7 linked regions of the Nothobranchius furzeri genome follow. Each later gene encodes a partner of the first gene's protein in a complex. Links are inferred from orthologs where the notes say so. Each region holds a gene or a part of one and is shown in the gene's direction. Other genes may lie near its edges.

The links.
Region 2: tbp (region 1) and taf11 share a complex: the UniProt entries of both Homo sapiens proteins name them as parts of the TFIID basal transcription factor complex. The link is inferred for Nothobranchius furzeri from reciprocal best matches to the Homo sapiens genes TBP and TAF11.
Region 3: tbp (region 1) and taf8 share a complex: the UniProt entries of both Homo sapiens proteins name them as parts of the TFIID basal transcription factor complex. The link is inferred for Nothobranchius furzeri from reciprocal best matches to the Homo sapiens genes TBP and TAF8.
Region 4: tbp (region 1) and taf5 share a complex: the UniProt entries of both Homo sapiens proteins name them as parts of the TFIID basal transcription factor complex. The link is inferred for Nothobranchius furzeri from reciprocal best matches to the Homo sapiens genes TBP and TAF5.
Region 5: tbp (region 1) and taf13 share a complex: the UniProt entries of both Homo sapiens proteins name them as parts of the TFIID basal transcription factor complex. The link is inferred for Nothobranchius furzeri from reciprocal best matches to the Homo sapiens genes TBP and TAF13.
Region 6: tbp (region 1) and gtf2b share a complex: the UniProt entries of both Homo sapiens proteins name them as parts of the TFIID-containing RNA polymerase II pre-initiation complex. The link is inferred for Nothobranchius furzeri from reciprocal best matches to the Homo sapiens genes TBP and GTF2B.
Region 7: tbp (region 1) and gtf2h3 share a complex: the UniProt entries of both Homo sapiens proteins name them as parts of the TFIID-containing RNA polymerase II pre-initiation complex. The link is inferred for Nothobranchius furzeri from reciprocal best matches to the Homo sapiens genes TBP and GTF2H3.

The regions. Positions count from the first base shown.
Region 1 is NC_091749.1:35,004,844-35,009,087, forward strand, and holds the end of tbp (TATA-box-binding protein), read left to right. Parts: intron 1-1,370; coding exon 1,371-1,465; intron 1,466-1,666; coding exon 1,667-1,746; 3' UTR 1,747-2,860; downstream 2,861-4,244. UniProt on the Homo sapiens protein: The TFIID basal transcription factor complex plays a major role in the initiation of RNA polymerase II (Pol II)-dependent transcription.
Region 2 is NC_091755.1:54,208,562-54,213,479, reverse strand, and holds the start of taf11 (transcription initiation factor TFIID subunit 11), read left to right. Parts: upstream 1-1,834; 5' UTR 1,835-2,024; intron 2,025-4,064; 5' UTR 4,065-4,095; coding exon 4,096-4,272; intron 4,273-4,918. Other genes in the region: nemp1 (nuclear envelope integral membrane protein 1), read right to left, coding at 506-627, 968-1,079. UniProt on the Homo sapiens protein: The TFIID basal transcription factor complex plays a major role in the initiation of RNA polymerase II (Pol II)-dependent transcription.
Region 3 is NC_091755.1:40,694,976-40,699,968, forward strand, and holds the start of taf8 (transcription initiation factor TFIID subunit 8), read left to right. Parts: upstream 1-1,498; 5' UTR 1,499-1,626; coding exon 1,627-1,674; intron 1,675-1,855; coding exon 1,856-2,009; intron 2,010-3,069; coding exon 3,070-3,168; intron 3,169-3,255; coding exon 3,256-3,318; intron 3,319-3,440; coding exon 3,441-3,565; intron 3,566-3,676; coding exon 3,677-3,824; intron 3,825-3,907; coding exon 3,908-4,050; intron 4,051-4,841; coding exon 4,842-4,993. Other genes in the region: g0s2 (G0/G1 switch protein 2), read left to right, coding at 115-257, 345-717. UniProt on the Homo sapiens protein: The TFIID basal transcription factor complex plays a major role in the initiation of RNA polymerase II (Pol II)-dependent transcription.
Region 4 is NC_091746.1:23,735,522-23,740,436, forward strand, and holds the start of taf5 (transcription initiation factor TFIID subunit 5), read left to right. Parts: upstream 1-1,924; 5' UTR 1,925-1,984; coding exon 1,985-2,411; intron 2,412-2,683; coding exon 2,684-2,915; intron 2,916-2,989; coding exon 2,990-3,305; intron 3,306-3,390; coding exon 3,391-3,554; intron 3,555-3,650; coding exon 3,651-3,786; intron 3,787-3,873; coding exon 3,874-3,994; intron 3,995-4,079; coding exon 4,080-4,209; intron 4,210-4,915. UniProt on the Homo sapiens protein: The TFIID basal transcription factor complex plays a major role in the initiation of RNA polymerase II (Pol II)-dependent transcription.
Region 5 is NC_091755.1:48,193,697-48,197,199, forward strand, and holds taf13 (transcription initiation factor TFIID subunit 13), read left to right. Parts: upstream 1-1,595; 5' UTR 1,596-1,710; exon of another isoform or gene 1,711-1,717; intron 1,718-1,783; 5' UTR 1,784-1,830; coding exon 1,831-2,205; 3' UTR 2,206-2,495; downstream 2,496-3,503. Other genes in the region: slc35c2 (solute carrier family 35 member C2), read right to left, coding at 1-68, 243-353. UniProt on the Homo sapiens protein: The TFIID basal transcription factor complex plays a major role in the initiation of RNA polymerase II (Pol II)-dependent transcription.
Region 6 is NC_091751.1:71,400,933-71,403,980, reverse strand, and holds part of gtf2b (transcription initiation factor IIB), read left to right. Parts: intron 1-147; coding exon 148-277; intron 278-490; coding exon 491-772; intron 773-3,048. UniProt on the Homo sapiens protein: General transcription factor that plays a role in transcription initiation by RNA polymerase II (Pol II). Involved in the pre-initiation complex (PIC) formation and Pol II recruitment at promoter DNA.
Region 7 is NC_091757.1:46,814,521-46,819,650, reverse strand, and holds the start of gtf2h3 (general transcription factor IIH subunit 3), read left to right. Parts: upstream 1-2,089; 5' UTR 2,090-2,235; coding exon 2,236-2,245; intron 2,246-2,342; coding exon 2,343-2,422; intron 2,423-4,137; coding exon 4,138-4,244; intron 4,245-4,430; coding exon 4,431-4,561; intron 4,562-4,631; coding exon 4,632-4,694; intron 4,695-5,130. Other genes in the region: Rieske domain-containing protein, read left to right, coding at 1-152. UniProt on the Homo sapiens protein: Component of the general transcription and DNA repair factor IIH (TFIIH) core complex, which is involved in general and transcription-coupled nucleotide excision repair (NER) of damaged DNA and, when complexed to CAK, in RNA transcription by RNA polymerase II.

The DNA.
Region 1 (4,244 bases):
TGATCTAAACTTTGCATCCTGTAACAAAAATACAGCACAAGTAGGGCTGGGGGTAAACGATTATTTTTAAAACGATTATTCTGACGATTATTTTATCGAATAGTCGACTATTCTAATGACTATTTAGAAAATTAATCTAATGATTATTTTTCTATTGCACAATTAACAAAAACCAGAAAATCTCAAATAAATTCCTCAAAAAAATTGATAAATTGTTACTGTAAGAGAATAAACACTACAGGCCTTCCATTTTGTATAACACTGCTTTTATTGTGTTGCGGTTGGTTATGTTCTGGTGACGTGTAGAACTTGGGAGTGCAGGCTGCTGCCTGAGAGGTGGTAGAAGATGGAGTGTCTCCACGCTGCTTTGTTTTGGTCACTTATGTGCGTGAGGCGAGTGGTCTTACGGGTTAAACCAAACTCAAGGTGATATTTTACACTAAACCGAAAACCCACAACACTCTAAATGTAATAAAAGGGAGATCTACACCACAAAAAAGATTAACTCTAAACCAAAACGTAACAGCTTATCCCAACGCAAGAAGCTGTTAGCGAAGATGCTAACAGTAGCTTTACCAACGTTAAGTTCAAGTTACCAAGTTTAAATAAACCAAAACACCCAGCAGCAAACAGACCAGCACGGAGGAGAGACTGCTACCACCAAAACAGCTCTCCTAATGTCTGAAAGAAGCTCCTTTATGAAGGGAGAAACGCTCCCGGTGATTTTCTACATCTGCGATAGAGACGGAGCAGCGCATCTGACCCCGGAAGTTGTTGTCCGTTGCCGGGAGACGAAGGCGGGCAAAACAGGAAAATAATCTAGTAGTGGACGGACATTGTTCCGGGTCTTCGGTATTTGGCGGAGATGTTAGTGAAGGCGGAGAAGAGGGCGAACTAGAGGAAAAACAGGCAGATTCCTCCTCTATTTACAAACTCCTGGGGATGCAACAAGTGGGCGCGGTGCGTCGACTTCCGGATCTGACGTCGACAAATTTTTAGAATCGAGCCGTCGACGTAGTCGAGGCTTCGCTACAGCCCTAAGCACAAGGGGAAGCTTCTCTGTCATCCTGGACATGATCATCTTGAGTTGAACTGAAAATAGTAGAAGGCTTATAAGTTCTGGTCAGAAACACACTGACAAGTCTTGTATTTTGTAAAATGATTTTGTCAAAATTGGGCAATATTATTGCTCCTTTATTCCAGATCATGTAGCAAGTATAATAACAGCATTGATACATTTATGGCCAATCCATAAGCAGCAAAAAACCTGATCTGAGCATCGCTAATGTTTGCAAAGATTTAATTAAAAATGGTACATTTTTTTAATTTAAAATTCATATAATTGTGAAAGTCTAACTTGTGTTTTGTAGCTATGAACCGGAGCTGTTTCCAGGACTGATTTACAGAATGATCAAACCCAGAATCGTCTTGCTCATCTTTGTTTCTGGGAAAGTAGTGCTCACAGGTAAGGCCCGAGCTCTCAGACGGGTGTATTTTTAGATTCTAGTTAAAGTATCACCTAATAATTTGGCACATTGTTTTGGATCTCCTTTTATTTTGAAAGGATTGTAATTTTTTTATTTAAAATAGAACAAGAGATTCTGTAAGTTTTCTAGATTCATCTTGATACTGATCCATGTTTCAATCTTTTTTGTTTTTCCTGAAGGGGCCAAAGTGAGATCAGAGATTTACGAAGCATTTGAAAACATTTACCCCATTCTGAAAGGTTTCCGCAAAACGACGTAGGACCTGGGGTTTCTTTTCCACCTCCTGAAACCTGATCCTCTTATTTCATTCATTATTTAATGTCACATTTTTAATGAGAAGGTAGACTGATGCAGGTGTTGGGAGTTTTTTCATCCATCTTTCTGTCTTCAATTTTTTTAATCATCATTTTAAAGGTTGTTCTTTCACTCTGACCATGTTTATTGTGTCCTGTGGTTGCAGGTTTTTGTTGTCCCATCTCATCCCCAACTGTACATATGACTGTAAAAAATGTAAAGTGTTGTTGAGCAGAAAAGCAGTTCGACGACTAGGACTGCTGGTTTTATGTGAAGCTGTTTTAAATACTTTTATACTCTCAGCTGTTAGCATTTGTTGACCTCTCTTTAAATCCCCTGCTGTACATGATACTTGGGATTTTAAATCCTATGCTTACTCCCTTAAGGTAGAAAATAATCCTGATTAATGACTTTTTTTTTACACTCATTGGGAGTAGACGCCCATTAACTCAAGCTGAGCTAATCTTTATTTGACTGGCCAAGTTGTCCATGAATGTTTGCTGCTGCTAAACAGTTAAGTTGTTTAGAGGCGTTTGATAACTTTCGACTTTGTCTGGTTGAAGTCGTGAAACAATCTTTCTGTTGAAAGAGAGAACTGGTTTGTTGTGGTTACAGGAAGAAAGTGTTTAATGGTTAAACTTGAATGTGTGTATATGTTCTTCTGTAATTAGAATGAGAAGTGATGCCAATCTTAAAGTCGATGCAGCTCTTCAGCGGGATTTCAGTAGGCTCAATATTGATATAAGGGAAAAAAAGCTCTTATGATTAATATTAATTTCAAACCCATGCAGTATAGTTTTAAAAATGTTTTTGGTTGTTTCAAATCAGCAGAATTTTGGCTGTTTGGCCTTTGTCTAAAATTAAAACTCAAGTAGGATCACATTGAAGTCATTGCTGGTGGTCTTATGTGTTATACGGTCAGCTAGTGACGTTTATGGCAACTAGTTAAAAGTCTGGTTTATTTAGTGACATGTTCAGTCTCCATCTTTGTCTCTTCTGTCTGATTTCTGTCCTCCCAGCAGACTCGAAGAAGTTTGGTCCATTGTTTTCTTTTCCACCCAATAAAAGTGTACATATGACTCAAGTCTACTTGGTTTTCTTTGCAGCAACATTTTACAGCTGAAGTCTCTTGCGTAAAACCAAAAGTCACCATGAAGAAATAAACTGTGAAGACTAAAATACTGAATCCCTGTATAGAAATAGTTTAGGGAAAACCTCTGGGTAAGAGTTAAAACATGTTGTAGTTGGATGTTAGAGCTGCAGAAAATACATAATTTCTCTGAATATCTGAAATAAAGTAATTTGTGTATTAAACAATACAATCATTCTTACAAAAGGAATTGTGGCTTATTTGATACCCATCATAAAAAAGACAAGTCAGGATTGTCTCCCATGTAACATCAGTCAAAAGAGAATCATTTGTAGGTGATTATGTTGGAACTGACATGTCAAAATCATTAAATTTTAAGAACAAGGGTGGTATGGGCTTCTGGTCAGGATGCTTCCTGGACGCCTCCTTGGGGAGGTGCTTCGGCATGTCCTGCCGGCAGGAGGCCCCCGGGTCGACCCAGGACACGTTGGAGAGGTTACATCTCCAATCTGGTCCGGGAACGCCTTGGGGTCCTGCCGGAGGAACTGGTGGAGGTGGTTGGGGAGAGGACGGTCTGGAGCTCCCTAGTTGGGATGCTGCCCCGCGACCCGGATAAGCGGAGGAAGACGACAACGATCTTCATTCAGCTGTAGAAAGCTCCCAGCCATCCAGGTTTTAATAGAGCAGCTGTGAGTTGTTTAGCCACAACCTTTTCCAAGATCTTGGAGATGAACGGAAGTTTAGAGATGGGTCTGAAGCTGCTATGGAGAGAGGGGTCAAGACTCGGTTTTTTAAGAAGCGGGTGGATTACAGCATTCTTAAAGTAAGCAGGGACCTGACCAGAAACCAGAGAAGCATTAATAATGGAGAGCACGCTGGGACTGTTGGACTGAAAAGCACTTTAAAACAAAGATGAGGGTAAGATGTCGAGGGGGCATGCAGAGGTCTTCATAGAGTTAACTAGTTTGGTTAACTCAGGCACAGAAACAGGAGCAAAGCTATCTAGGATGATGGGCCTGGTTGGAGTTGGGAGAGGCAGCGATAAGGCTGAAGGAGAGATGCTAGATCTGACCTTATTGACTGTCCACAAAGAAAGACAGAAAGATCTCACAGTCTGCAACAGAGTGGATGGAGGCTGTAGGAGAGGCAGGAAAGACGATGCTGCTGATGGTGTTAAACCGCACCTTGGGGTTCCCTTTGCTCTGGGACACCAGGTTGGAGAAATAGTGTCTCTGACTGCAGAGCTAACGGATGTCAGAAGATCCTTTAGGTGCAGCAGATGGACGTGGAGATGTGTTTTCTTCCACAAGCGCTCAACTTTTCTGCATTGGCGCTTTAGACTGTGAAGGCTGTCATTAAACCAGGGAGTAGGG
Region 2 (4,918 bases), on another chromosome or scaffold:
GAGAAAAAACCCTGGGCTGCTCCTGTTACCGGCTTAGCATCATTACAAAACGCTGCTGCGTATTGCAGCCGGTGTGGAATTACAAATGCCGGCACTGCAGCGTTATCCAGCACAGACTCAGTAACCCTGTGGGCTCACAGATTGTAAACAAAGACTGTGTCCCTTTTAGACCATTTTGAAAGGAGAAAAACTGACAACCTCCAGCCAGCTGAGAAGGAAATCTGATCAATGTAACCTTCCTTCCAACATAATTGAGACAGACTGTTTAGTGATTATTCCACTGTGAAATTCTTACACATTGTACCTTAAATATTAGCTGTATGTTGTTACTGAGTGATCGTGTTGAGATGTATAAATCTGGAAACTCTCTTTCCCTGTAGTTTGCTGTCTTCTTTTATTTTGAAACTATTTTAGATGCCATCTTGGCCAGGACTCAGTGGATCAGTGAATCTTATCACTTCAGTTAGAATAAAAGTTACATACAATAATAGTTCAAGAAACTCACCTGAATTCGTGTCCAAGTTTGCCTCCAAGTCGGCACTAGAGCATTTCTGTAGCAGAACCGGTTAGATCCTGACATGGTGAACTCTTCTCCATCCTGCAGATCAATTATTTGGGCTGCTTTCCCTGGATTTCACAAGCAGACATGTCTCTGGACTGGATAATCCTGTGAGATTATCATCTACTGCTAATTGTTAGAATGATTTATCTTTTGGATAAACCCAACTAATAGCTTATCCATGTGAAATGTAAAGGAATTGTACGAAAAGGGAATTGGGGTGATGTTAACTACTACATGTATAACCAACAGAATTAAAGAGGAACGTATGAAGCACCACTAAACTCACACAAGCAGTTTCACTTTGTGAAAGAAACAAGCTAACACTAATTAGCTGGATTAGCCTGAGTTAAAACACAATAAAGTAAGTGACTGTGTATTTTCCCACTTTGTAACACAGCTTCTTACCAGTACTCTGGAGTGAAGACTGGGGTAAACAGATAAAGAGTACAACGAAGACTAAAACTTTGGTTATTGCTGACTTGTAACAACAGTGTGTCGTTTTCACGCATCCCGCCATGGCCGTTCTACCTTAAGCTCCTCCCCTAACATCTACCACTTCCTTTTCCGTTTCTCGCGGCTCATTCCAGCCAATCACAGCGCTGGGTCGTCGTTGTTGTTGCACGTTAGCTTACGTTTGTTAAAGAGATAGTACGTTTTGTAAAAAAGAAGTATTATCTTACCTAAAGATAATTACTTCAAACTCCAGTTTCTAGCCTCATTGATATAAGGACGCTAACATGTTTTCTACTGATGTTTTACCCAATGACTAAAAATGACCAGAACCAACGTGTAGTTTCGGCTTTTCGCCACTAGAGGAAAGCAATTTACCTCTTCGTTCACAAAAAGCCAATGAAAAACTGAGTTTGAAGCAAGCTCCACACAGGCATCTTATCCAGGTAGATCCTTTTATAACAATTAAAGCCATTTTAAACCCGCTGTCGCATTTCTTATGTTACCCCTCCTTCACATTTTAACATCTCCTGTCGGGGACATAACAAAAGAGAAGGAGGAGGAGGATTTGAAGGAAATAAATCTGGATTAATACATGTAAAAGACTTCCTGAGTAGAAAGACTATCTAATTTCTTCCAAAGTCTGTTTTTTCCTTAAATGAAAAATATGAGCTCTATGCTGGTGGCAATAAACAGAACAGCACTATTTTACGTTCAAGATTCCCTAGAGTTTATGAATTCGCCTCATCAGCTACCCTCCAGTGCGGTAAGGGGCGACAACATTTTTTTTTTCCAAACGCCATTAACCCACGAAGAAGAAAAGGAAGAAGAAGAAGAAGAAGAAGAAGAAGAAAGAAGCGCTAGCTTAGCTTTTCACGTTTGTTGTGTGCTTTAACATATTATACAAATGTATCATGTTTAATCCACTTTCTGTTCACGGCTACCTAAAATACGTTTAAATTAGTTTTGTTGCTGCTTCCTGTGGTGTCGTTGAGCTCGTTCTGGCTTGAAGGTATGTATATGCTGTTATTTCTGTCGTGAAAATCCACCTTAACGGTAAATTTCATTTCTTTCTTTATTTAATAGGGACAGTGCATATTAATGAACTTCAACAATAAATTGCATCGGTAAATATGCCAGATTGTAGCACCAGTGCTAATTTACATCTGCAGTCCCTAGGCGGGTAATAAAAGCAATAAAAGAAAGTAAAGTATTGTATTTAAAACTAGGAAAAACAGAAAGAAAACACACAAAACACCACGGTGAGGACAAATTACTGATGGATACGGGTTTGGGTTTCCTGCAGCCATTGTTTGAATTTGAAGGAACTGCATGACTGTGAGTCACCTATGCTGAGTGGTAGACTATTCCAATATTTAGTCCAATATTTAGTTAGGATAGTGTGGTCGGGCCAAAAGCAGTGCGTCTGTAAGGCACCTCACAGTCTCCTCTATCTGTAGCCCTGGTCGACGTTCCACTGATAGACCGCGATTTATTACAATCTGTCAGTGGGAAAGGGGCTAGTCCATGTAAAACCTTAAAAAACAGGCAAGCATTCTTGAAGGTAACAAAGTTACTAAGATTAAGAAGTCTATATTTATCTAAAACAAAGCAGTGGTGGAAACTAAATGATTTCTTATCAAGGATTTTTATGGCTTTTAAAAAAAGGGATTCTATGGGTTTGAGTGTTGCACCAGCAGCAAGTGACCAGGAGGTTATACACTATTCCATGTGAGACAAAATCATAGAATGTAAAAATAACTTTGCAGCATGGAGTGAAAAAAGGTCTAACTTGTTAAAAAAATGACATTATAATTGACAGTTTTTTTTTAAAAGTTGTTTAATGTGATTCTTAAAAGTTAAGGTTGGGTCCAAAGTTAACCCAAGATATTTGAATTCTTTGACAATATCAAGTTCTACCCCTTCAAGAAAGATGTTTGATTTTTTTTAGTTCAATTGTTTGTTTTTTTTGGTGAAAAACATGCAAACAGTTTTTTTTTATGTTCAGCTTTAAGTGGGAACTCTTGACCCATTTTTGTACATGGGCCATGGTTGCAGTCAACAATTGGGAGGCTTCCTGAGGACGTTTAGTATCAGTAAAAATAACAGCATCATCTGCATACATTTGTATGTTTACTTTTGAACATACTTCGAGAAGATCATAAATATAAATGATAAACAAAATCGGCCCCAGAATACTGCCTTGGGGAACTCCAACTGGACAACTAATGTAGGAGGATTTATTGCCAAACAAGGACACATATTGTTTTCTGTCACACAGATAAGACTGAAACCAGAGCAGCGCCTCTGGTGAGAAATTAAAATGACTCAATTTGTTTAGAAGAATTTGATGATCGACGTGTCGAAAGCCTACTTGAGGTCTATGAACACAGCTCCTACACATGCATGCCTGTCAAGGAGACTTTTGACTTTTTCCACAAAGACACAATTTGCAGTCTCTGTGGAGTGGCAGTTACGAAATCCGAATTGCATTGGATGTAGGGATGTGTGTCCAAAATTTAAATATGCATTCAGTTGCTTTGCCACCCACTTTTCTGCAACCTTGGAGATAGTGGGGAGAATACTGATGGGCCGATAATTGGCCATTTCAGTTTCGTCAATTGGCGTGACTGCAGCTAGCTTCCATGCTAAAGGCACAACATTTTGTTTAAACGATAGAATAATTAAATGAGTTACCGGCTGAATTAGTGCATCTTTGTGCAGTTTTAAAAAATGGGTGTCGAGAGACCATATACATCCTTTGCCTTTGATTGGTTGCTGTCCACTTCTGTTATTTCTTCTATCCTGAAAACAGCATGACAAGGATTTACAGGATCAAAAACACCGTTAGACGGTGTGAATTGTTGAGTTATATCTCGAACTGTGTCAACAAAGTATTTATTCATTTCAGTAGCTATGATAAGAGGATCTTTCACCAGAGTATCATTTATTTTGATTTCAAGTTTATTAATAGCATATTTGGATTGTTTACCAGTTAATTGGTCTATATTTATCCAGATAAATTTATGTTGAGAACATTTTATGTTTGCAGAGGCTGAATCGTAGAGAGACGTCGAGAAACGATGGCAGATCCTGCTCGGATCAAAACAGAAGATTCTCTTCCGAAGACGGCAGCTTCTGCTATCGATGAAGAAGTAGTTAGGAAGGATCAACCTGAAAATGAACTCGTCTCAGAAAAACCTACAGAAGAAAATAAAGAACCGAGCGTGCAGGATCAGCCCACACCTCTGGTTAAAGCTGTGAGTGAAGCTAACCATAATGGTGCGCGGAAACATTGACAGGAGTTGATAGCTCTAAATAGTAAAACATGAATCTATAGAGAAGAGCCATAATTGAAGTTTCCTTACATTAAAACCTGTTTTAATTAAGATCAGCTTTATTTTAGCTGTGTTCTCAGGTGTGTAAATGTTTATGCTTGCATGAACAAAGTAGGTATCTTGTTACATCAAAGTGAAGATTTGTGGTGGTGGTGTGATGGTTTGGGCCTGATCCCCTGCATCTAATCCTGGACACATTATTACTAATAATAGGACAACTGGATATTTTATGTGTTTATATTTACAGCAGATAGAAACTTGTAGTTTGCTTAGACTCTTACGGGACATATTTTCTAATAAATAAATCAGTTTTGTGGTCATCATTAAACAAAAACCCACTATCTGGTACATGTCGCATAAAATGTGATTTCTGGTTTCATAAAACATCAGAGAACACATTTTTTGTTCAGGTGGTTAAACCAAATCACCCTTTAAGCCATTTGTTGTGAACTTTTTGCTCTTCTCCAATCTTTGTGTTAAACCTAAAAACGATAATTTAAGTACAAACAAAACACTTTGCTAAGGCCCGTTACCCCAAAATGAACAGTCTGTGTTAAGAACCCAAACA
Region 3 (4,993 bases), on another chromosome or scaffold:
CATCATGTGTGATGTTACACGTATGGGGAGTGTTTGTTCAACTTCTCTTCCCCACAAACCCATGCCCTTTGACACAAACACGTGCTAATCTCTGTAAAAGGTGGCCTCATAAATATGCATGGTCTCTCCTCTGTTGTGGGAGGAAACGCGGCTTCGGCTGTATTTAAATGGGAAGTCTGCTCCAGCCTCTCCACCTGCGAATGCCTGATCGTGCCAAACACTTGGGAGAAATTCACATTTTTGACGTCTGCCTTAGAGTGAGTATCATTCATTAGCCAAATGTCTTTGTGATAATTGTTTTTTCCACAAAAGAACACTACATTAAACTATTATTTTTCTTCCAGCAGAATCATTGCATATCAGAAAATGGACAGCACCAACGAAATCATCCTTTTTGCCAAGGAAATGCTGAGACAGAAGCCCAGCTGGAGCATGCTTAAGATCTACATGCTCGGCTCGACTCTGGCGATGATCGGGATGGTCGGTGGTGTGGTGGAGATGATTCTCCAGCCCTTTTTAGACAATCACAGCCCAGGGGAAGAACAAGCAAAGTTCTACATCGAGATGAATAAGGAAAACAGTACGAGCAAATCAGACTCTGCCACAGTTCATGCCGAAGTTGAGGACATGATGGGAGCAGTATCGTTTGGAGCCAAGACTAAATATCTGGGGACATCTATCCAGAGAAGCTCAGCCAACCGCTTACATGCTTCTTAAAGAAACACTCCACACCACTTAAAAGGACAAAGATATACCAGTATTGTTGGTGGTGGTGGTGGTGGTAGCCTGCATTACCAAATCAAGCAGCTCATTTTTTATTCTTTAATTTATTTCAGATATGGTTAAATGTGTAGTTTTTCTTAGCTGGTGGCTAAAACTTAGCTGAAATGTTACAATAAAAACTGCAGGATACAGTTTAGTAATGCTGCTGGGCAGCAGGTTCCAATGGCTGACATGCACTGGGTGTCTATGGAGCTCATGAAATGCCATTCGTGTCATTCATTTTGTACTTAAATAAACATTTTTTCTGCTCGCAGAATTTTGGCCCTAATTTAAAGCGCCCACAGATTCAGATTTATTCGACTTTAACGGTAGAGGTTTAAGCTTTATGCATGAGGAGAATTTTATTGAGTAAAACAAAAAGTAATGTGTATTTAGCACTGTTCGCAGAAAAAATATCACCAAGGGCTTCACAAATAAAAACTGTAAACACCGCATACAACCTGTGTAAAAATGTGCTCGTAAAAACAAAAGAACATAAAATAAGGTATAAAAAAATTCTAACGTAATGTGTTTTCAGCTGTTTCTCAACACAATCTTTTCAATAAGAGCACAAGGACAGAGCTAAAGTGTGGGAGCCACTGCTCGAAAGGCCCGACCACCTCTGGTAACCAGTAAGCAGTAAAACTGGGGAGATGTGCGCCCTTACTGGTACGTTATGTCAGCAAATAGCCACTAGATGGCAGAGTGAAAGACTCTAATACTCAATTTCACTTCCGCAACAAAAGCGGAAATTACGTCATAGTATGAGCTGTGTTTACAATCGACGGTGAAGCGGTTTCTGGATAAGTAGAAATAGAAGAAGAATTGCATTTGTTAGAGAAGGAAACCTGGAGCTAACCTCTTATGGCGGATCCAGCGGTAGTATCGGGAGGGTCGCTGCCCTCCTGCGGGGTAAGAGATGCTTTTTAGGGCATTAGAACGCGCCAGCTAGCTTACAAGCGCCTCTCATCGCCACAGTTATTACTACTGTAAATAAACATGTTGGTCCTTGGCACGAGCAGTAGTATTTCGATAGATATTTACATTAAGCTAGCACCTTACAACGCCAGGGTTTGTGTGTGTGCTCTTTCAGCGTGGCGCTAAAGCGGCTTCCAGCGCCGCGGAGAACTACCAGCTGGCCCGCCGTCGCACCCTGCAGGTTGTTGTCAGCGCCCTGCTGACCGAGAGCGGCTTTGAGAGCGCAGAGAAGGCCGCGGTGGAGACGCTCACGGAGATGATGCAGAGCTGTAAGTGTTTACAAACAGTAGCTTCTGTCCGCTGAGCACGAGCTTCCAACACCAGGTTAAGGCTATTCAGATGAATGCATGTTTACGTCTAAACTTCACTTGATCTAATCAGTCTAGGTTAGTTTAAAGAGCAAGTCACCCCCAAATCAACTATTTTTTCTGATAAACTATATAAATGCGTGTCTAATCGTGCTGCAGACACGTGTGGTCAATAGTTTTGCACTTTAGTGCATTTTAGTTAAAATTTAAATTTTCTGCCTTAAACTGTCAGTGTTGTGCCGTTGTCAGGTAAAAACTCTTCACTGCATTTGAATTTAAATCTGCCACCGCTATTGGCTAAGAGGTATGCTATGATGTAAACTGGTACATTATGATGTCACAATGTCGTGCGTGTGTGTATTTGTTAGTGGCTCCACCCTCTCGGTCTGCTAGGCAACAGCATTTGTTGCATTTTTCAAACATGAAGTGGGAGTGGAGTACGCTTCTTGTAGGGGGTGACTTGCTCTTTAAAGAGCCTCCGTCCTCTATGTTTCAGCTGTTTCTGCTCCATCTGGGGCCCCATTTATAAACAAAACCGGGTCTGAAAACCGCGTGTGTCACTTTCCACGCACATTTATAAAGAAAACCTGACAGGAAAATGCGCACAACTTTAGGCAAACCCCTGTGGAGTCAGGGAAACTAGCAGCACAGCAGGTGAGATGACAAATGGTGAATTCAAGCCGCATTTGGACCCTCGTGTCTGCGCACGCACACACACAAACACACACAACCACAGTCAGCTCCCTCACCCGTCTCTGAATAAATAAAATGAGAACTTAATAAAAAATATGTCGCTGTTAAGAGATCACAATGTGTTCAAATGAACGTCTTCAACCGGAGTCACGTCCAGCGTTTAAAGAAGTTAAATAAGAACTAGTGACTGCAGGTTATGACTCTGAGAGCTTCTATCCACTACTGTGTTGTACGATTGGTGCTGGCCTTTGATGAGGTATTTGTTTGGTTGTTTAAAAGCGTGCCTGTAGAGTTTTTGAAATACTAATGGTATCATTTTCCTGTAAAGATATAAGTGAAATAGGTCGTTGTGCCAAAGCATACTGTGAACACACGGCCAGGAGCGTCCCAACCCTCTCTGACACGGTGGTCACACTCATTGAAATGGGTAAGACTGAAGGTGCATCAGCATGGTGACATGTTTTTTTTTTACTGTGAACACACTCCTAATCGGTGATTGTTTGTCCTTGGAAAGGTTTTAATGTCGACACTCTCCCCGTGTACGCCAAGCGGTCACAGAGGATGGTCATTACAGCTCGTAAGAAACAAAACCTGACATTTCTGCTGTTAGAGCTGTGATGATACCCTAGGATATCAAGTAACGAGTCACGGTTGTAGGCTAGTTTTAAGTTCTACATGTTTGTATTTCCTGATTTTTAGCTCCAGTCACGAACACACCAACAACACCTAAATCCCTGTCAGCTGGGCACAAGCGCACTCACCCACCTCATATTCCTAGCCACTTCCCAGAGTTTCCGGACCCTCATACCTACATCAAAACACCTGTAAGTTCATCAACATAATCTCCATAATAGCCCTATAAAACCACGTTCACCCCCATAGTGGGTGATGTTGCATAAACAGGTGTTTTGCGAGGCTCTCCTTCCTTCCCTCAGACATTCAGAGAGCCTGTGTCCGAGTACCAAGTGGTGAGAGAAAAGGCAGCGAACCAGAGGAGAGACGTAGAACGGGCCCTCACACGCTTCATGGCCAAAACTGGAGAAACTCAAAGCCTCTTCAAAGACGACGTCACGGCCTTCCCATGTGAGGGATCCCGACTGTACATTACCCGTCAGATTGTGTGTAACCCTGTGCATTAATACAGAATAACACATTGCTGTTGTTAGTGATCGCAGCTCGGCCAAGCACCATCCCATATCTGAGCGCCCTCCTGCCCTCGGAGCTGGAACTGCAGTCGCTGGAGGAGACGGACTCCTCTGAGCAGGACGACCAGACCGACAGCGAGAACACAGCTGGAAATATGGTGACAGTAAGTCTTCACAGCTGGGAATTGGTGCCAGGCGCAGTAGAGTAGTAGTAAAAATAACTTTTTGAAGGTGCCATTCTGAAGGTCTAAACTAAGAGGAACAGGGCAATAAAAAGCAGCACTTAGGATTGAAACAGAGAGAGTCGCAGCTACACTGCGGAGTGTGTTAGAACGGTTAGGAGTAATAGGAAGGATAAGGCGCTATCCAAAATAACACAAGAGCTCTTTATTGGTACTAGTGTGGTGTTAGTGGAGTAATCAACAGAGATACGTTTCTGCGATTAGCCAGGGATGGTTCAGTGTCCAGAAGAAGTTTGATCTGAAATGAACTTAAAACAGTTGGAGGCAAACCAGTCTCTGATTTCAGCAGCAGACCTGCCAACTTGTACGCAATCTGGCATCTATTTACGCTGGTACGACTCACCCCTCTAAACTACCTGAGTTGAGTTCTGTGGCGAATATGCACGTGTGGTACTCATGTCTGACTCAGCGGCGTGGTGAAGAAGTTTAAGCCAATCATCGTAGAGAAGCAGAGAAAAGCTATCCTGCCTAACCTAGCGTAACACCCCCGCCCCCCTCCTCCCTGCTTCGTCCTGCCCGCTGCTCCTCTCTCCTGTGTGTGTGTGTGTGTGTGTGTGTGTGTGTGTGTGTGTGTGTGTGTGTGTGTGTGTGTGTGTGTGTGTGTGTGTGTGTGTGTTTGTCTTTATCCATTGCAGATAGATTTGGCCTGTATATAAGGAGGAATGTGATTATTTATACAGTTTAAACAAGCAGCCATTATTTTATTTTCGCAGCTCGTTTTGCAGCTCATGCTACGGCAGATGAGGGAGAAGCGGACAGGGAGGGATTGGTTAGCAGACCTGCCAAACAGAAGAGGATCCATGTGTCTCACAAGTTTTTGTCCAAATATCAAGAACAGTGGCCATGCTTGCGACCCTCTAAACAA
Region 4 (4,915 bases), on another chromosome or scaffold:
AGATCACCAATGTAAGATGGTGCTTGTCCATGTAAGGCCCTATAGACCAGAACCAGGATCTTGAAATGAACCCTGAAGTTGACTGGCAGCCAGTGAAGCTGGAGGAGAAGCGGGGTGATGTGGGTGTATTTGGAGGACTTGGTCAGAAGCCGAGCACAGGCAATCTGAACCACCTGTAGACGGTTCAGGGAGGTTCTGCTCAGACACGTGAAAAGAGAGTTACAGTAGTCTAAGCGTGAGGAGATGAAGGTGTGGAGAACTGTCTCAAGTTCAGAGCGGGACAGAATGGGACTCAGCTTAGCAATGTTCCTGAGATGGAAGAAGGAAGAGCCAACAAGAGAACTGACATGAGAATCCAGGGTGAGAGATGGGTCAAAGGTCACGCCAAGATTCCTGACGGAAGGTTTGGTGTGAGAAGCAAGCTGACCAAGAGAGTCTCTGACTTTGGGAACCAGCTTGTCTGGGGCACAGATGAGGATCTCAGTCTCATCTTCATTCAGCTGTAGAAAGCTCCCACCATCCAGGTTTTGATAGAGTCTAAGCAGGTGTGTAACAGCTGCAGCTTAGACATCTCATGGGGCTTAAAGGAGATGTACAGTTGGATGTCATCTGCATAAAGATGGTAGGAGATTCCTTTAAAGGAGCTCAGGATGTGCTGAAGAGGAATTGCTATTAAATGATGCTTAATTCACATTCAGCAATTGTTGTTTTGTTCCTGTTTAAGATAAGGAGTGGAAGTTTTCCTAGACAAAAACCTGCAGATGTGGCCTATTTAATCTATTATATGAACTCAATGGGCATTAAAAGGAAAAACTGGTAATAATTCTGGTTTCAGCAGCGTGAAAGTGAACTCTACAACCTGGTGTGAGGCACACTTGTAACATTTAATCACTATTGTATGTTTGCTTATGTCTTCAGGTAATCATTAGAGGTGCTGAAAAAAATCGATTCAAGTCTGAATCGAGATTCTTATTTATAAAGATTCAGAATCGATTCACAAAGATTCAGAATTGCTTCCAAGAACTCAAATATTTGGCATGTTACAGGTCTGAGATGCACTTTTTTGATCTTTGTTAGGAGAGTCAGTACTCTGTTTACTTTTGTGGTCCCATAAATTGAGATGATTTATGTTTGAATCTGCTGATAAGAGGGCACTTGAATGTATTTTTTTCCCATACAAAGAAATTTGAGATATTCTCATATTTATTTTCTAAGTTGATAAACGAGTACTCAGGATTACTCATGTAACTTGTTTCTACACATACTTGAAAAGTATTTGACCGTATTACTTTCAAAGCTACTGTTAGGTAACTACAGATTAGTTATATTTTACAAGGTAAGCAAAAATAAATGTTGCCTTTTGGTCAAAAGGTTGTTTCTGTTTACAGTTTTAGAATCACTTTAGTTTACCTTGTAAATTTGCATTTTTGGAGCATGACCAGTTTAAAGTCAAATAAAAATGTCCCATAGCTTTAACTAACTTGTACAACAAAGTAGTTTATCCTGGAGCTGACACTCTTTGTTAATACTGATTGTGAATCGATTTAAATTGAGAATTGAGAATCGAGAATCGATTCTGAAACGAATCAGCACCCCAAGAATCGGAATCGAATCAAATTGTGAGTTGCTCTAAGATTCACATCCCTAGTAATCATCTTGGTGGTTTTAACAGGAGGCGTATGATTTATGTATATCAAGTGTGACAAAAATATCAACAAACAGATCAAAAATATCAACAAACAGATCATTTAATCTTAAACTTACTTTAGAGTATTTGGGATTAATTTCATGTGTTGTTGCGTCAAACGGCTTGCCATACACTTTTGATCGTAGCGGATCGTAGTCAAAGCCGATGAATTTTAAGAAGGCGGGACTTGATTCGTGTCCATTGACGCTTGGTAGTACCGACCAATCTGAAGGCTCGATCTTGCGTAGTCGGTGGTTCCCGTTTTTCAATTTCGCACATGCGCAGTTCATTTTTAAAATGGCGGCCGTACAGGGTGGTATGGTCGACGCAAAAGACGAATTAGACATAAAATCCGAACCGCCGAGCGATGGCTTCGGAAACAGCAATGCAAACGACGGAAGGCTACTTTCCTCGTCCCCCGGAGCCGGTACCGGCGGTACCGCGACTGGAAACAACAAACCTGCCCCGGGACCACCTGAGGAGCAACAGACGCTGCTGGCAGTTCTGCAGTTCCTCAAAAAGAGCAAACTGGCGGAGTCCGCTGAAATCTTGCGTCGTGAGGCGGGACTGCCGGAGGATGCTCTGGACCCGAAGGGGACGGACGCCAGCGGGTCGGGACCGGGGCTCGCCGCGGGGAGCGGGCAAGTAGACGGCGTGGACGCCAGCTCTCTGCTCAGCCGGGTGACGGTGTCTTCCTCCGCCGCAGCGCAGGCGCCAAAGAAGGGTACAGTTTGATCCAGCTACGTGGAAGCGGACCGCATAGTTGTAGTTAAACACGTGATTTTAGTCACACATCACAATTAAGTCATCACACACTTTTACGGTTGGATAATTAAAACACGTGTTGTTGCAGATTCCAGCCTAGCTGCATGTTTTTACTCACTTTCCGCTTCTCCTGCTGGTTTATGCTTGGTCTCAGAAGTGGTGACTAGTTATTGTTTTTTGCATCTCATGAAGTTTTTTCTCTTTGTCCTGTATGGATGACGTGGTGTCCAGCAGCAGCTGGGGAGGACCAGCCAGATGTGAGCGTGGTGCTGTCAGCTTACAGCCAGCAGGGAGATCCTTCTCTGTATGACGCCTACTACAGCGGCCTCAAGAGGTTCATAGAGTCCGTTTTGGACTGTCACCGCGCGGAGCTGTCCCAGCTCTTCTACCCGCTGTTTGTCCACATGTACCTGGAGCTGGTGTACAACAACAATGAAAGCGTGGCCAAGGCCTTCTTTGAAAAGTAGGTCTCTTTATCCTCCAGCCACATTCTGCAGATCTTCTTCTGTAAATTCCCTGTTTTATTTATCTTCCCAGGTTCAGTGGAGACCAGGAGTGCTACTACGAACAGGACCTACGTATTCTCTCCAGCTTGACGAAGAAGGAGCACATGAAAGGCAACGAGACGCTGCTGGACTTCCGCACCAGTAAGTTTGTCCTACGGATCTCCCGAGACTCGTACCAGCTGCTCAAGAGACATTTACAGGAGCGGCAGAACAACCAGATATGGAATATTATCCAAGAGCACCTGTACATCGACATCTTCGATGGGATGCCGCGCAGCAAGAGCCAGATCGATGCAATGTCGGGCAGCCTGGCAGGAGAGGCCAGACGAGAAGCCAATAAGGCTAAGGTGGGTTGAACAAACCCAAGATGAGGCCAGGTCTCCATTTTAACGGAGAGACCCGTTGAAGCACGTTTTACTTTATCTGGCGTAGGTTTTTTACGGCCTGCTGAAGGAGCCAGAAATTGAGCTGCCCCTTGACGATGAGGATGAAGAGGCCGAGAACGAGGAGGGTAAACCCAAGAAGAAAAAGCCCAAAAAGGATAGCATGGGCTCCAAAAGCAAGAAGCAGGATCCAAACGCTCCTTTACAAACCAGGTGTGGGTTGGTCACGCAACAACTTACCACGTTCCTCCCGCTGATCCAAACGTACACCAATGGAGGAAATCCTTTGTTTGTTTTTCTGCTGTTCAGGATACCTCTCCCAGAGCTGAAGGACTCTGATAAGCTTGACAAGATCATGTACATGAAGGAGTCCACCAAGAGGATCCGTTTGGGGTCCGACAACCTCCCGTCCATCTGCTTCTACACTTTCCTCAACGCGTACCAGGTAAACGAGCACTAACCAGTAGGGTTGATCAAAGCTAAAGGTTTTGTGGCGATGTAAGCTGCAGCTGATGCTGCTCGACCTCCACAGGGTCTGACCGCCGTGGACGTCACCGACGACTCCAGCCTGATCGCAGGTGGTTTTGCTGATTCCACGGTTCGGGTGTGGAGCGTCACGCCGAAGAAGCTCCGCAAGGTCAAGTCTGCAGCAGGTAGAGCGCGCGGCCGAATAATCGCCTCTTTAGAAGTTCTGCAGATGTTTGGAGTTAAAATCCTGTGTTCTTTGTCTTTTTTTAGATTTGAATCTGATTGACAAAGAGTCAGACGACGTTCTGGAGAGGATCATGGACGAGAAGACGGCCAGCGAGTTGAAGATTCTTTACGGACACAGCGGGCCGGTGTACGGCATCAGCTTCAGCCCAGACAGGTAGTACCCACAATGCAACATGACCATGTTAGCCCACTCATGGTTTTACGCTAATCAAAGATTCTGAGAACAGCATTTTGTGACAAACTGTCGTCGTCTTCCTCCGCTTATCCGGGTCACGGGTCAGCATCCCAACTAGGGAGCTCCAGACCGTCCTCTCCCCGGCCTTCTCCACCAGCTCCTCCGGCAGGACCCCAAGGCGTTCCCGGACCAGATTGGAGATGTAACCTCTCCAACGTGTCCTGGGTCGACCCGAGGGCCTCCTGCCGGCAGGACATGCCCGAAACACCTCCCATTTTGTGACGAACTGAACCCGTAGAAATGTGACAAAACTGAATTAAAGGGGACATTAAACTAGGGCTGCAACAAACGATTATTTGGATAATCGATTAATCGGATGGGGTCTCGACACGATTAATCGATTAATCGGATTACATGGGGGAATTTTTAAAAACTGCTAGGGAAACGTTATTTCTCTCCTTCCTTCACTTTATTAAACACAACATTATTAGAAAACAGTTCAATAGCAGAAAAACAACATGCCATCACCTAAATTGTCTTATAAGGTGTATAGACAGAGACCCTAAGCTACATCTATCTGTGACCTAAAATGCTTGGTCCAAGTTAAACAGCTTAAGGGCAATTCTCATCTGTTTTGTTTGATCTCATCTGTTGACATTTATTTTAAATGTAATTAAACATAGAC
Region 5 (3,503 bases), on another chromosome or scaffold:
GTCACACAAGATAGACAGAAGATGATGACGAGATGAACCAGTGTCATGAACAGAGGATAATGGAAGCCCTGAGTGAGATGAAATAGTAGACAGGATTAACGAGAACCGCTGTTGGGAAAAAAAAATGGCAACCATAACTCCAGGAGACAGACATAATATGGATTAAGATGGGCACCAATCAAGAAACAAATAAGAAGCTCTAATAAAGTAACACTCTGGGAAAGGGAATGGGTCTCATTTACCTTCATTAGCCATTTGTTATAGAATGTGATGCCTATAGAGAAGACATAGTAGAGGAGGACCAGTCCAATAGTGCAAAGACCTCTGAAGAGGAACTGAACTGGGCACGCCATCCGGGACTTCCAGGACCAGCTGTCCAGAATGGACTGTTAATGCAGAGGGAGCATCTCCAAAATACCTCTGCACCCCACCACACCACCCATAATGGTTCACTAGAATAAGGACCTAAGGGGAAAAACAACAAACATATGAGATATGTTATTCGGATTCAACAGAACATCCTTATCTACAACAGATAATGTAAATATGTGAGATATAATTCAACTTAGATTATCTGAAATGACTGGGGGACCTCACCCTATACACCTGAAAGACACATCCGGTCTAGCTTTAACAAGCTCTAGCAGACAGCCATGACTTGTTAATGTAACTTAAAAATAAACTATTTTTTAAAATAAAGTTCTCAACTAAGGAGAGTTGTAAATAAAACCCTTCACTTCTAGGAGCGTTAAATTGTATTTTATTTACCTTTATTATAATTCTGACCAAGAACCATGCGATTTGGATTTGGAAGATGCTATAAAATTAAACCAAAAAGTCATTAAGACTGTGTTACCACAGCCACAGCGTTAGCCTACACAGCTAACAGCTAACGAGACATGTGGAGATGAACGGCGTAGCACACACATCCTACTTTACATCTAGATATAATATAAAGTGTGTCCGGTTTACCAGATGGCTTGTGAAGAATCATCACAACCAAGCAGTTGCTATCTTTAGCCGTTAGCTGACAGCTAAGCTAACGCAACTTTCGGATCTCTAAACGTTTTAACAACATTAACATAGAAACATTTAGTAGCTAACCAGCGACTCTAGTGTAGTTCTTACCGGTTCTGATCTTGTGTACACGTCTGAGCACAGAAAGAAAGAAAATAAGGCACTAGATATTTGAGCTAGTGTTTCTTTCCGCTATGTTTCTTCTTCTACGCCTTCAACGGAGGTTGACACATTATTCACAAATGCATGCTGGGTTAGAGAAGCAGAAAACAAAAACCGCCAAAAAGCTTCAACTTCATTATCATTCATGATATAGTTTGGCTAAGTAGAAACAAAAACACTCAAGAAAACAATTGGAATAGATGCAGATCTGAAATAAACCTAATATACATATGAAGTCGTTATTTTTTCCGTTTGTTGAATTCAGCCTGTCAGTGTGACTCTCATGGCTCTAATATTTATTAATTTATTTTGTTTATTTATTTATTTATTTGTGACTCGTTTCAATCTCGATTTTAAACAAGAATTTATTCAAAAGATTAGATCTGCGCTGACGTTTCAAACTCAGTCCAGTAGGTGGCGGTCATGCAATTTGAAGTTGGCGTGTCAAACGCTGAAGCCCAAAAATACCAAAGAAGAAGAACAACAACGAACGTAGAAGAGTCTGGGGATTGTTGTGATCCAGTTTTCAAAGTAAAATGTAATTTTTGTTCTCTAAAACGCATTTTGATGTTTGCATGTTGTAAGTGTGAGGTTTATCTTACAGTAAAGCGTCGTTAAGGCTCGTTTTATCGGCGTTTTCCTCCAGAATTAATGGCGGACGAGGAGGACGAGGCTGGCTTCGAGGAGGAGTTGGAGGACGGGTCCAGCGGAGTGGATGTCGGCCACGGCAGGAGAAAGAGACTCTTCTCTAAGGAGCTCCGGTGCATGATGTACGGGTTTGGAGACGACCAGAACCCGTACACGGAGTCTGTGGATATTCTGGAGGATCTGGTGATCGAGTTCATCACGGAAATGACCCACAAAGCCATGTCTATCGGGCGCCAGGGCCGCGTCCAGGTGGAGGACATCGTTTTTCTAATTCGCAAGGATCCCAGAAAGTTCGCCAGAGTCAAAGACCTCCTGACCATGAACGAGGAGCTGAAGAGAGCCCGGAAAGCTTTTGATGAAGCCAATTACGGCTCCTAATGAACTCGCGTTTGTTTGTCGCTTCCTGCTAACTGGTTTGTGTATTTTTTAGTGGTTCTCACTTGAATAACAGAACTGACTGTTTTAATGACATGTTTACACTGTCAAGTCATCGGAAACTCTCAAATAAAGTTAGTTTGTTTCAAATAAGTCCCAACACCAACAGGAAAACCAACATCTGTTATTTACATTGAAGAATGAAACTTTCTGCCAACGTGTTGGAAAGGATTGTTAAGGTTTTTTTAAGTGTTTCCATGGAAACTGCGTGAATAAATTAACATTTCATTATCTTTCCTGCTGTTTGGATTGGAGAGACTTTTGTGGTATATCAGGTGTTTCTGCAGTTTAAAATTAGAGTTTTTACACCTTAAATGTACCCGTATGTCGTTAGTTTCCTAACTTTGTTGCTGTCTGCAGAAGAGATGACCTGCTGTGGCACATCTGGCTGGGATTTCATAATTGTGAGTGTTAACCCTTTGATGCATAATGGTCACTACAGTGGACAGGTACTCAAAATTGTTATTTATTTGTTTTTGCACAAAGCACAGCTGTTGAAGACTTGATGGCATTTGAGCCCCTCCATTTGGACTTCAGTAAGTCAAGCCAACATGTTTCATGCTCAGAATGCACGCTGCCCACTGAGGTGGACATGTAATAAATTATTTGTAAATTATAAAAAAAATATATATTTGTTGAAATTTGTTTCATTCACACCTAAAGACGAATGAAAAAAATCATGGTTGAAGATTTCATAATTCATGCATCAAAGGGTTAAAGCATTTTGTAATAATGTTCACTCATCTGTTCAATCAGAACTAACCAGTTATGCCATTCAAAGATATATCTACAGTTAATCGCTCATAACATTTCCACAGAACACTTCAAAGGATCTAAACGCTTCCTTTGAAGTGTGCGTCAACAGCCATCAAGTGTTGAAGTACAACCAATCAGAGTGTTTTTCAGAAACCTTTAACCCAGAAATAGTCAGATCTGTTATTTATATATTTGCTGGACTTCAGTGTTGTCTCATATGAAGAAAAAGGTCCAATCCAGGCTTCGAGGTTCATTTCACACCTGCATGTTTGTGACCCTGGCTGGCTCACAAACGTGCAGATGTTCTAGTTTATGAAGATTTCTTTGAGTTCAAACAAACACAAATAAAAGAACAGCTTTGAAGAGCTGCTGGAGCGTAACATCACACCAACCTCAGGACAACTGGACGTCGTTTTTATTTTCTCTTGTATTTAGATCAACTGATTCTTTAAATAATAAACATTTATGTATCTGAACTGAGAATT
Region 6 (3,048 bases), on another chromosome or scaffold:
AAGCTGCAGACGAGTGACATCATCTGAGTTATTAAACACTGAAAAGTTGATCAACTTGGTTTTTCACCCAACAGAACGATGTTTGTGATTTTAAACACCTGTAGAGGTGAACATCCAGCTGACACGCTGTGTGGCTCTCCTCTCCAGGACAGAACAAACAACCTGTTCAAGCAGGTTTACGAGCAGAAGAGTCTGAAGGGCCGAGCCAACGACGCCATCGCCTCCGCCTGCCTCTACATCGCCTGCAGACAGGAGGGGGTGCCCAGAACCTTTAAAGGTCAGATAAATACTTATTTCCTCTTCAGGTGTCCAGACATCCCTCGTTAAATGAGAGTTGGGATGCATTTAGTTTGGGGACCTGATCTTCTCAGGGGTGAAGGTTTCCTGCTGCAAGTTCTCAGGTGTTAATGTCTCTAAAACGTTTCATTAGTGCTGCTCACAGCGGCCTGCTGGAGACGTGACCCTGTCACTGAAATGTGTTGTTCTGCAGAGATCTGCGCCGTCTCTCGGATCTCAAAGAAGGAGATAGGTAGGTGCTTCAAGCTGATCCTGAAGGCTCTGGAGACCAGTGTGGACCTGATCACCACCGGTGATTTCATGTCCCGATTCTGCTCCAACCTGGGCCTGCCCAAGCAGGTGCAAATGGCTGCCACCTTCATCGCCAGGAAAGCTGTGGAGCTCGACCTGGTACCCGGCAGGAGCCCCATCTCAGTGGCTGCTGCAGCCATCTACATGGCCTCTCAGGCCTCTGCAGAGAAGAAGACTCAGAAAGGTGATAACGCACACACACACACACACACACATGCACACACACACACACGCACACACACACACACACACACACACACACGCACACACACGCACACACACACACGCACACACACACACACACACACGCACGCACACACACACACACACACACACACGCACACACACGCACACACACGCACACACACACACACACACACACACACACGCACACACACGCACACACACGCACACACACACACACACACACACACGCACACACACGCACACACACACACACACACACACACACACACACACGAGCAGTCAGGATTAATCCAGTTTTAGTAGCAGGTTGATGCACTTTGTAGACGGTCCCTAAGCCCTGCCCTCCTGTGTGACTTGTTCCACCGTGCTGGGTCGGGTTTGGTTTAATGACTGAGAATAGTTCACCAGACTGAGGGAACAGGTTCCCATTCTGCCCTCCTAATGCTCATTTTTCTATTTCCATCAAAACTCGGAAAAGTTTTACGTTCTTTTTAGTGTACAGAGATGTACACAGGTGTGTGTGTGTGTGTGTGTGTGTGTGTGTGTGTGTGTGTGTGCGTGTGTGTGTGTGTGTTCCATGTACACTGTACAACCAAGCTGCAAACGAAGAACCGCGAACAGCAGATATGATGTCTGGTGAACAGGGGAAGCATCACAGCCGAGCTCCGGACGGCAGCGTCTGGTGTCTTACTTCCTCATATTTACACATCTGCTCTTTGATTGGATGACAGCAGCACGCCTTTACCATTGACTTGAAATGTGGATGTTTTAGCTCTACAACAACCCTAGAGAAGTTCTGCTTTGTGGTGGAGTCGCTAACAGTTCGCTTCTACCAGCGGAGATGTTCTCTGGACTAAACCAACAACAGCCTCCCCCGTTGCGGGTCTAGACGGGTGAAGTCCATGAACGTTAGTGACGGCGTGACGTAGATCTGTCAGGATTTTCTGATCCCAGAGTTTCACCGTCTGTTTTCTATCAGAAAGCAGGAGATAGGTGTAGGAGACTATTTTCATGTTCAGCCCGCATGAAACACTTGGTGACTCCATTTCTTTGGTTCTTTGTCAAACCGAGTAGGAGGAGCTTGTTTTTACCTTAGCTGACATTTTGGCATCCGCTCCATCAGAGCCAGCATCGATGTCGGTGGCATCGCTCCCGTTTATCTGCGAGCAGCAGAGGACTTTATCGCCCTCTACTGCTCGATTAAGTGTTTTTCAGGAGACCACTGAGTCCACTGATTCAGGCTCAGAGGGAGAGAGGTCAGTCTGATGATCTGTCACCTTTGACCTTTAGCCTGGTGCTGCACAACCAGTAGGCTTTGATCACTGGACCTCAGGGACCTGCTGGGGGTGTAGGGACTAAGAAGATCACCAATGTAAGATGGTGCTTGTCCATGTAAGGCCCTATAGACCAGAACCAGGATCTTGAAATGAACCCTGAAGTTGACTGGCAGCCAGTGAGGCATCTGGACAGGGTTTCACCAGTCTCAGAATAATTCTGTTAGGGATGTTCTGATAAAACGTTTTCACTTCACTGTCGTCGTCTTCCTCCGCTTATCCGGGTCCGGGTCGCGGGGGCAGCATCCCAACTAGGGAGCTCCAGGCCGTCCTCTCCCTGGCCTTGTCCACCAGCTCCTCCGGCAGGACCCCAAGGCGTTCCCGGACCAGATTGGAGATGTAACCTCTCCAACGTGTCCTGGGTCGACCCGGGGGCCTCCGATGCGATAGATATCGCAGCCTTCATAATTGACCGATACCGATACGATATCAGCAGTGTTCACACAAACGTTCACCTGTTTCGTAGTGCGGAATGTATGAAAGGCTTGATCCAGTGATGTTACTCAATCAGAGAACAAGAGCCAATCAGAGAACAAGAGCCAATCAGAGAACAAGAGCCAATCAGAGAACAAGAGCCAATCAGAACAAGAGCCAATGAGAGAACAAGAGCCAATCAGAACAAGAGCCAATCAGAGAACAAGAGCCAATAACAGTAAGTTAGAAAAACACGAGTTTTTTTCTTAACTGTTATTTACAAAAATGTGAATCTTAACGGACCGCTTATATCGGAGACTTTTAATGCCGGCAGATATAATCCGATACTGTTTTTGGGCCGATATTGGATTACTTCCAATATCGATATTGGATAACTTCCAATATCGATATTGGAAGTTATCCAATATCGGAACGGGACATCCCTAAATTCTGTTTCAGAAGAGACCAGGCTCTGTTAGTGAGGTGGTGCCTCATAACTATTCAT
Region 7 (5,130 bases), on another chromosome or scaffold:
TCAAGCAGAGGGTTCATAAAGTCACTGAAGTTGGTGGGAACATATTCGTAACACTGAATGACTCCAGCAAGCCCATCGAGTCAGATGTTTACCAAGTGGAGAAATACAGGACTGTCTCACTTAATGTCCAAACTCCAAACCCAAGGAATTAAGATGTTGATGAATACAGTGACTACTGAATAATAAAGCAAAAATACCTTAGTAAAAACTTTGTTTTAAAAAATAAACAATATTTTCATCTATAAGAATGAAGAACACAAAAGGTCTTTCTGTGAGACAGAAAGAAAGTAGTTAAAAAACATTAATGATAATTTATTTAAGATGTTATGCCCTGAATGACTTTGCAAGGTTGTTAGCTAATCATTTTCAGACATTTCCATGAATGCTTAATGAAAAATATCCCAGCAGATGGATGAAAACAAAACTTTATGTGAACAGGGTGCAGCCACCATTGCTAGAGGTATTGTACGAAACCCCATTTGAGCTAACTGTATCAGAAATGTAGGGGATTTCTTTTGTGCTTTTTACATGATATACAATGGAACTTATTTGAGTCAGGAACAGCAGCAGCTCAGGAGGTAGAGTGGATTGTCCAGCAATCGGAAGGTTGTAGGTTCGATCCCAGCTCCCACTGGAGAATGTTGCTGTTGTGTCCTTGGGCAAGACGCCTAACCCGACTTACCTGCTGGTATCGGTCAGAGGGACCAGTGACACCAGTGCATGACAGGCCTCACCTCTGTCAGTGCGCCCCAGGGCAGCTGTGGCTACACTGTAGCTCATCCCCACCAGCATGTGAATGACTGCTTGTGTTGTGAAGTGCCTTGAGAGGTTATATTCCTTTTTTTATTCATTTATTTTTCATGTTTGTATGTATTGTTATCTTTTGTCATTTTATCTGACTGTAAAGAAGTTGACTTTAACAGAAAAAAGATGCCAGAAAGCAAGACGGAAAAAAAGACCCCTATGGCGCTATATAGTACAGGCCATTTATGAAATTGATCGTTTTAATAAAATGTTATACCTATGCAAATTGATTTTATAATATGTCCAAATAAAGTCTGTTTTTTTTTCTTTTGTATTAGCTTTAGTAGTTTTACAAAAATGTTTAGTTTTTGTAGTTTTTTTAAATGCAGATGCATACTTGCTGTTAAACAGAAGCATTTTGTTAGAATATACATTTAATTAATTAACGAATGAGAAACAGCTGCTTCAGTTAGGGTCAAGAACTTTTTTTACGAACATGAACAGGTGTGTGAAGTACAGTTTCAGAGAAACATGCCTATCCACTTTGTTAGATCTCAACAAATACATTTGTTATTTATTGTGTACATATTTTAGTAGTTGTGTTTTCTACTTTCCACCAACGCCACAAAAAATATTTTGTGGCGTTGGTGTGATGTCACAAAAAAGTCACAGTCCAGGTTTTTTTTCTTAGATGTTTATATTGTTTATTTTTTCACCTACCGGTGACTCCGCCATATTGATTAACGTGAACAGTGACCGGTGTACTGCTTTGTTTATTTATTTATTTTTTAATTATTATTCCTGAACAAAGACATAACAGAACAAGGTACGACATTAAGGTACAAACTCTCATGGAGGATGTAAGCTTAAAAACAGGCTAGGGGCTTATCAAAGAAAAGGAAAATGTTTATGTTTATTCATTTAGCAGACGCTTTTATCCAAAGCGACTATTACAATTTATAACCTATATGGCATGTTGTGATCTGTGGGGGAAACCGGAGGAAACCCACGCATGCATGGGGAGAACACGCAACTCCACGCAGAAAGACCACAGCCGAGTTTCGAACCTGCAACCTTCGTGCTGCAAAATAACATAAAAAACAAAGGAGCATGATTTACAAAGGAAACTCAAAACAGTTCTCAGTTATTTGCCGTGAGATAATTCTCGCATTTTTTCCATTTTACTTAATGAAGAGTAGAATAATTTAAATTCGTTCAAGAAGCATGGAAATGAGGGCTTGGTACCCCTCCGCTTATTGCAATGGATGTGATATTTGGCAAACAAAACAACAGTCCAGGTGGCAGCACTGCGCTGGTTTGTAGCAGTGAAAAAGAAACTCGTCGCACAGTGATGACGCACATCTAGCGGCGACAAAAAGCTTTTTTCCCTAAACACTTTTTGTTCGGTCTTCTACCATGGACGGAAGTTATCAACAGAAAAATCTGTTAGAAAAACTTTAGTTTCTTTTGTTTCGATTAAATACTTTCGAGATGGCATCAGGTTTGTTTTGCTTATTGTCTCACTACGTTCTTTTGATGCAATATATTACTGTTGTTTCAAGTCTGCAGAATGGTGTTTTATACATTCATTTCTTCAGAGGGAGAAATCAGTCTCCTGGTGGTTGTGGTGGACGTGAATCCGATCTGGTGGGGCCAGCATGCTCAGAGCGAGCCGGAGGTGACAGACTATTTATTTATTTATATGCAGTGTCACTAAAATCACATTTTGACAATATGTAGTAAGGATATATAATCTTTTTAAGTCAGACAAACGGATTATGGTTTATTAATATTAAATCAGGATATTTTATAATTGTGACAAGATCTAATACATGGGATAAGTTCTTCTCTCCTATTTGAGTCACCAAATATTATTTGAATGAATCTTTTCTATAATTTACATCAGTTACTACTTTAGAAATGTGTTGGATTACAAAAATACTTTGATTACCAACATCTCATATTACACATTCCATCCATCCATTCATTCTCTTCCGCTTATTCGGAGTCGGGTCGTGGGGGCAGCAGCCCAAGCAGAGAGGCCCAGACTTCCACTTCCCAGCCACTTGGCCCAGCTCCTCTGGGGAATCCTAAGGCATTCCCTGGCCAGCCGAGAGACATATTCCCTCCAGCATGTTCTGGGTCTGGACGTACCCAGAAACTAGAGGTGCTGAAAAAACCCGATTCAAGTCTGAATCGGGATTCTTATTTATAAAGATTCAGAATCGATTCCAAGAACTCAAATATTTGGCATGTTACAGGTTTGAGATGCAATTTTTTGATCTTTGATAGGAGAGTCAGTACTCCGTTTACTTTTGTGGTCCCATAAATTGAGATGATTTATGTTTGAATCTGCTGATAAGAGGGCACTTGAATGTAATTTTTTCCATACTCAGAAATTTGAGATATTCTCTTATTTATTTTCTAAGTTGATAAATGAGTACTCAGGATTACTCATGTAACTTTTTCTACACATACTTGAAAAGTATTTGACCATATTACTTTCAAAGCTACTGTTAGGTAACTACAGATTTGTTATATTTTACAAGGTAAGCAAAAATAAATGTTGCCTTTTGGTCAAAAGATTGTTTCTGTTTACAGTTTTAGAATCACTTTATTTTACATTGTAAATTTGCGTTTTTGGAGCATGACCAGTTTAAAGTCAAATAAAAATGTCCCATAGCTTTAACTAACTTGTACAACAAAGTAGTTCATCCTGGCGCTGACATGCTTTGTTAATACTGATTGTGAATCGATTTAATTTGAGAATCCAGAATCGAATCGGCACCCCAAGAATCAGAATTGAATCAAATAGTGAGTTGCTCTAAGATTCACATCCCTGCCAGAAACCCTCACCAGGAGGCATCCTAACCAGATGCCTGAGCCACCTAAACTGGCTCCTCTCGATGGGGAGGAGCAGCGGATCTACTTCGAGCCCCTCCTGGATGATTGAGCTTCTCACCCTATCTCAAAGGGAGAGCCCAGACACCCAGCAGAGAAAACTCATTTTGGCCGCTTGTATCCATGATCTCGTTCTTTCGGTCACTACCTAAAGCTTGTGACCAGAGGTGAGGGTAGGGACGTAGATCGACTGTAAATCGAGAGCTTTGCCTTCCGGCTCAGCTCTCTCTTCACCACGACAGATCGGCACAATGCCCACATCACTGCAGATGCAGCACCAATCCGCCTGTCAGTGTCCTGATCCATCTTTCTCTCACTCATAAACAAGAACCTGAGATACTTAAACTCCTCCACTTGGGGCAGGACCTCATCCCTGACCCAGAGAAGGCATTCTATCCTTTCCTGACTCAAGACCATGGTCTCGGATTTAGAGGAGTGATGAAAAAATATATATATATATTTATGTTTGTTTTTTCTTTTTCTTTTTTAAAGTTCACTTTGTCCAAGTGTCTGGATGCAGTCATGGTGATGGGAAACGCACACATGGCTATGACCAGGACTAACCAGCTGGCTGTCATCGCTGCTCACTGCCAGGACAGGTAACTTTATACTTCATGGAATAACTTTTCCTATAGTTTCCAGATTTGAGCAAAACTTGACTGTTTTACATTTGCTTGATAGATCCCAATTAACCTACAAGTTCATGTAGGTTAACAAAAGGTCAACATTGAAATGTCCATAAATGCATCCAGAGGTTAAATTCCATTTGCATTTCTTCCTCTCAGTCACTTCCTGTATCCAAGTAAACGTTTGAAAGGGAACGATGATACGTCTTCCAGCAGGGATGGAAAATATGAGCTCCTATCTGTCACCAACAACCTCATCGCTGAAGAGATCAGGGATATCATGTCCAAGAGTAGGTGCAAGTCTGTGTGACGTAGGGAAGAATTTGGAGTAAATAGATGACTAAATACTTTTTTTTGCAGCGGAATTGACGGGAAATTCGACTGATACTCTTCTGGCTGGATCCCTTGCCAAAGCTCTGTGCTGTATCCTTTTAAAAACCGTCGTCTTCCTCCGCTTATCTGGGTCCGGGTCGCGGGGGCAGCATCCCAACTAGGGAGCTCCAAACTGTCCTCTCCCCGGCCTTCTCCACCAGCTCCTCCGGCAGGTCTGCCACCCGATCCACACTGCACCGGATCCTTCATGTTGCTCCTGCGGGTGGTGGGTCTACAGTTGGATGAGCCCATGTATCCGGTTCGGGCTGGGCCCGGCCGGGCCCCATGGGCGGAAGCCCGGCCACCAGGCGCTCGCTCACGGGCCCCAACCCCAGGCCTGGCTCCAGGGTGGGACCCCGGTAACCCTCAGGGCCGGGTGACTCTTTGATTGTACATCCATGAAAGATCCTCTGAACCGTTCTTTGTCTCACCCTTCACCTAAGACCAATTTGTCATGGGAGACCCTACCAGGGGCACAAAGTGCCCC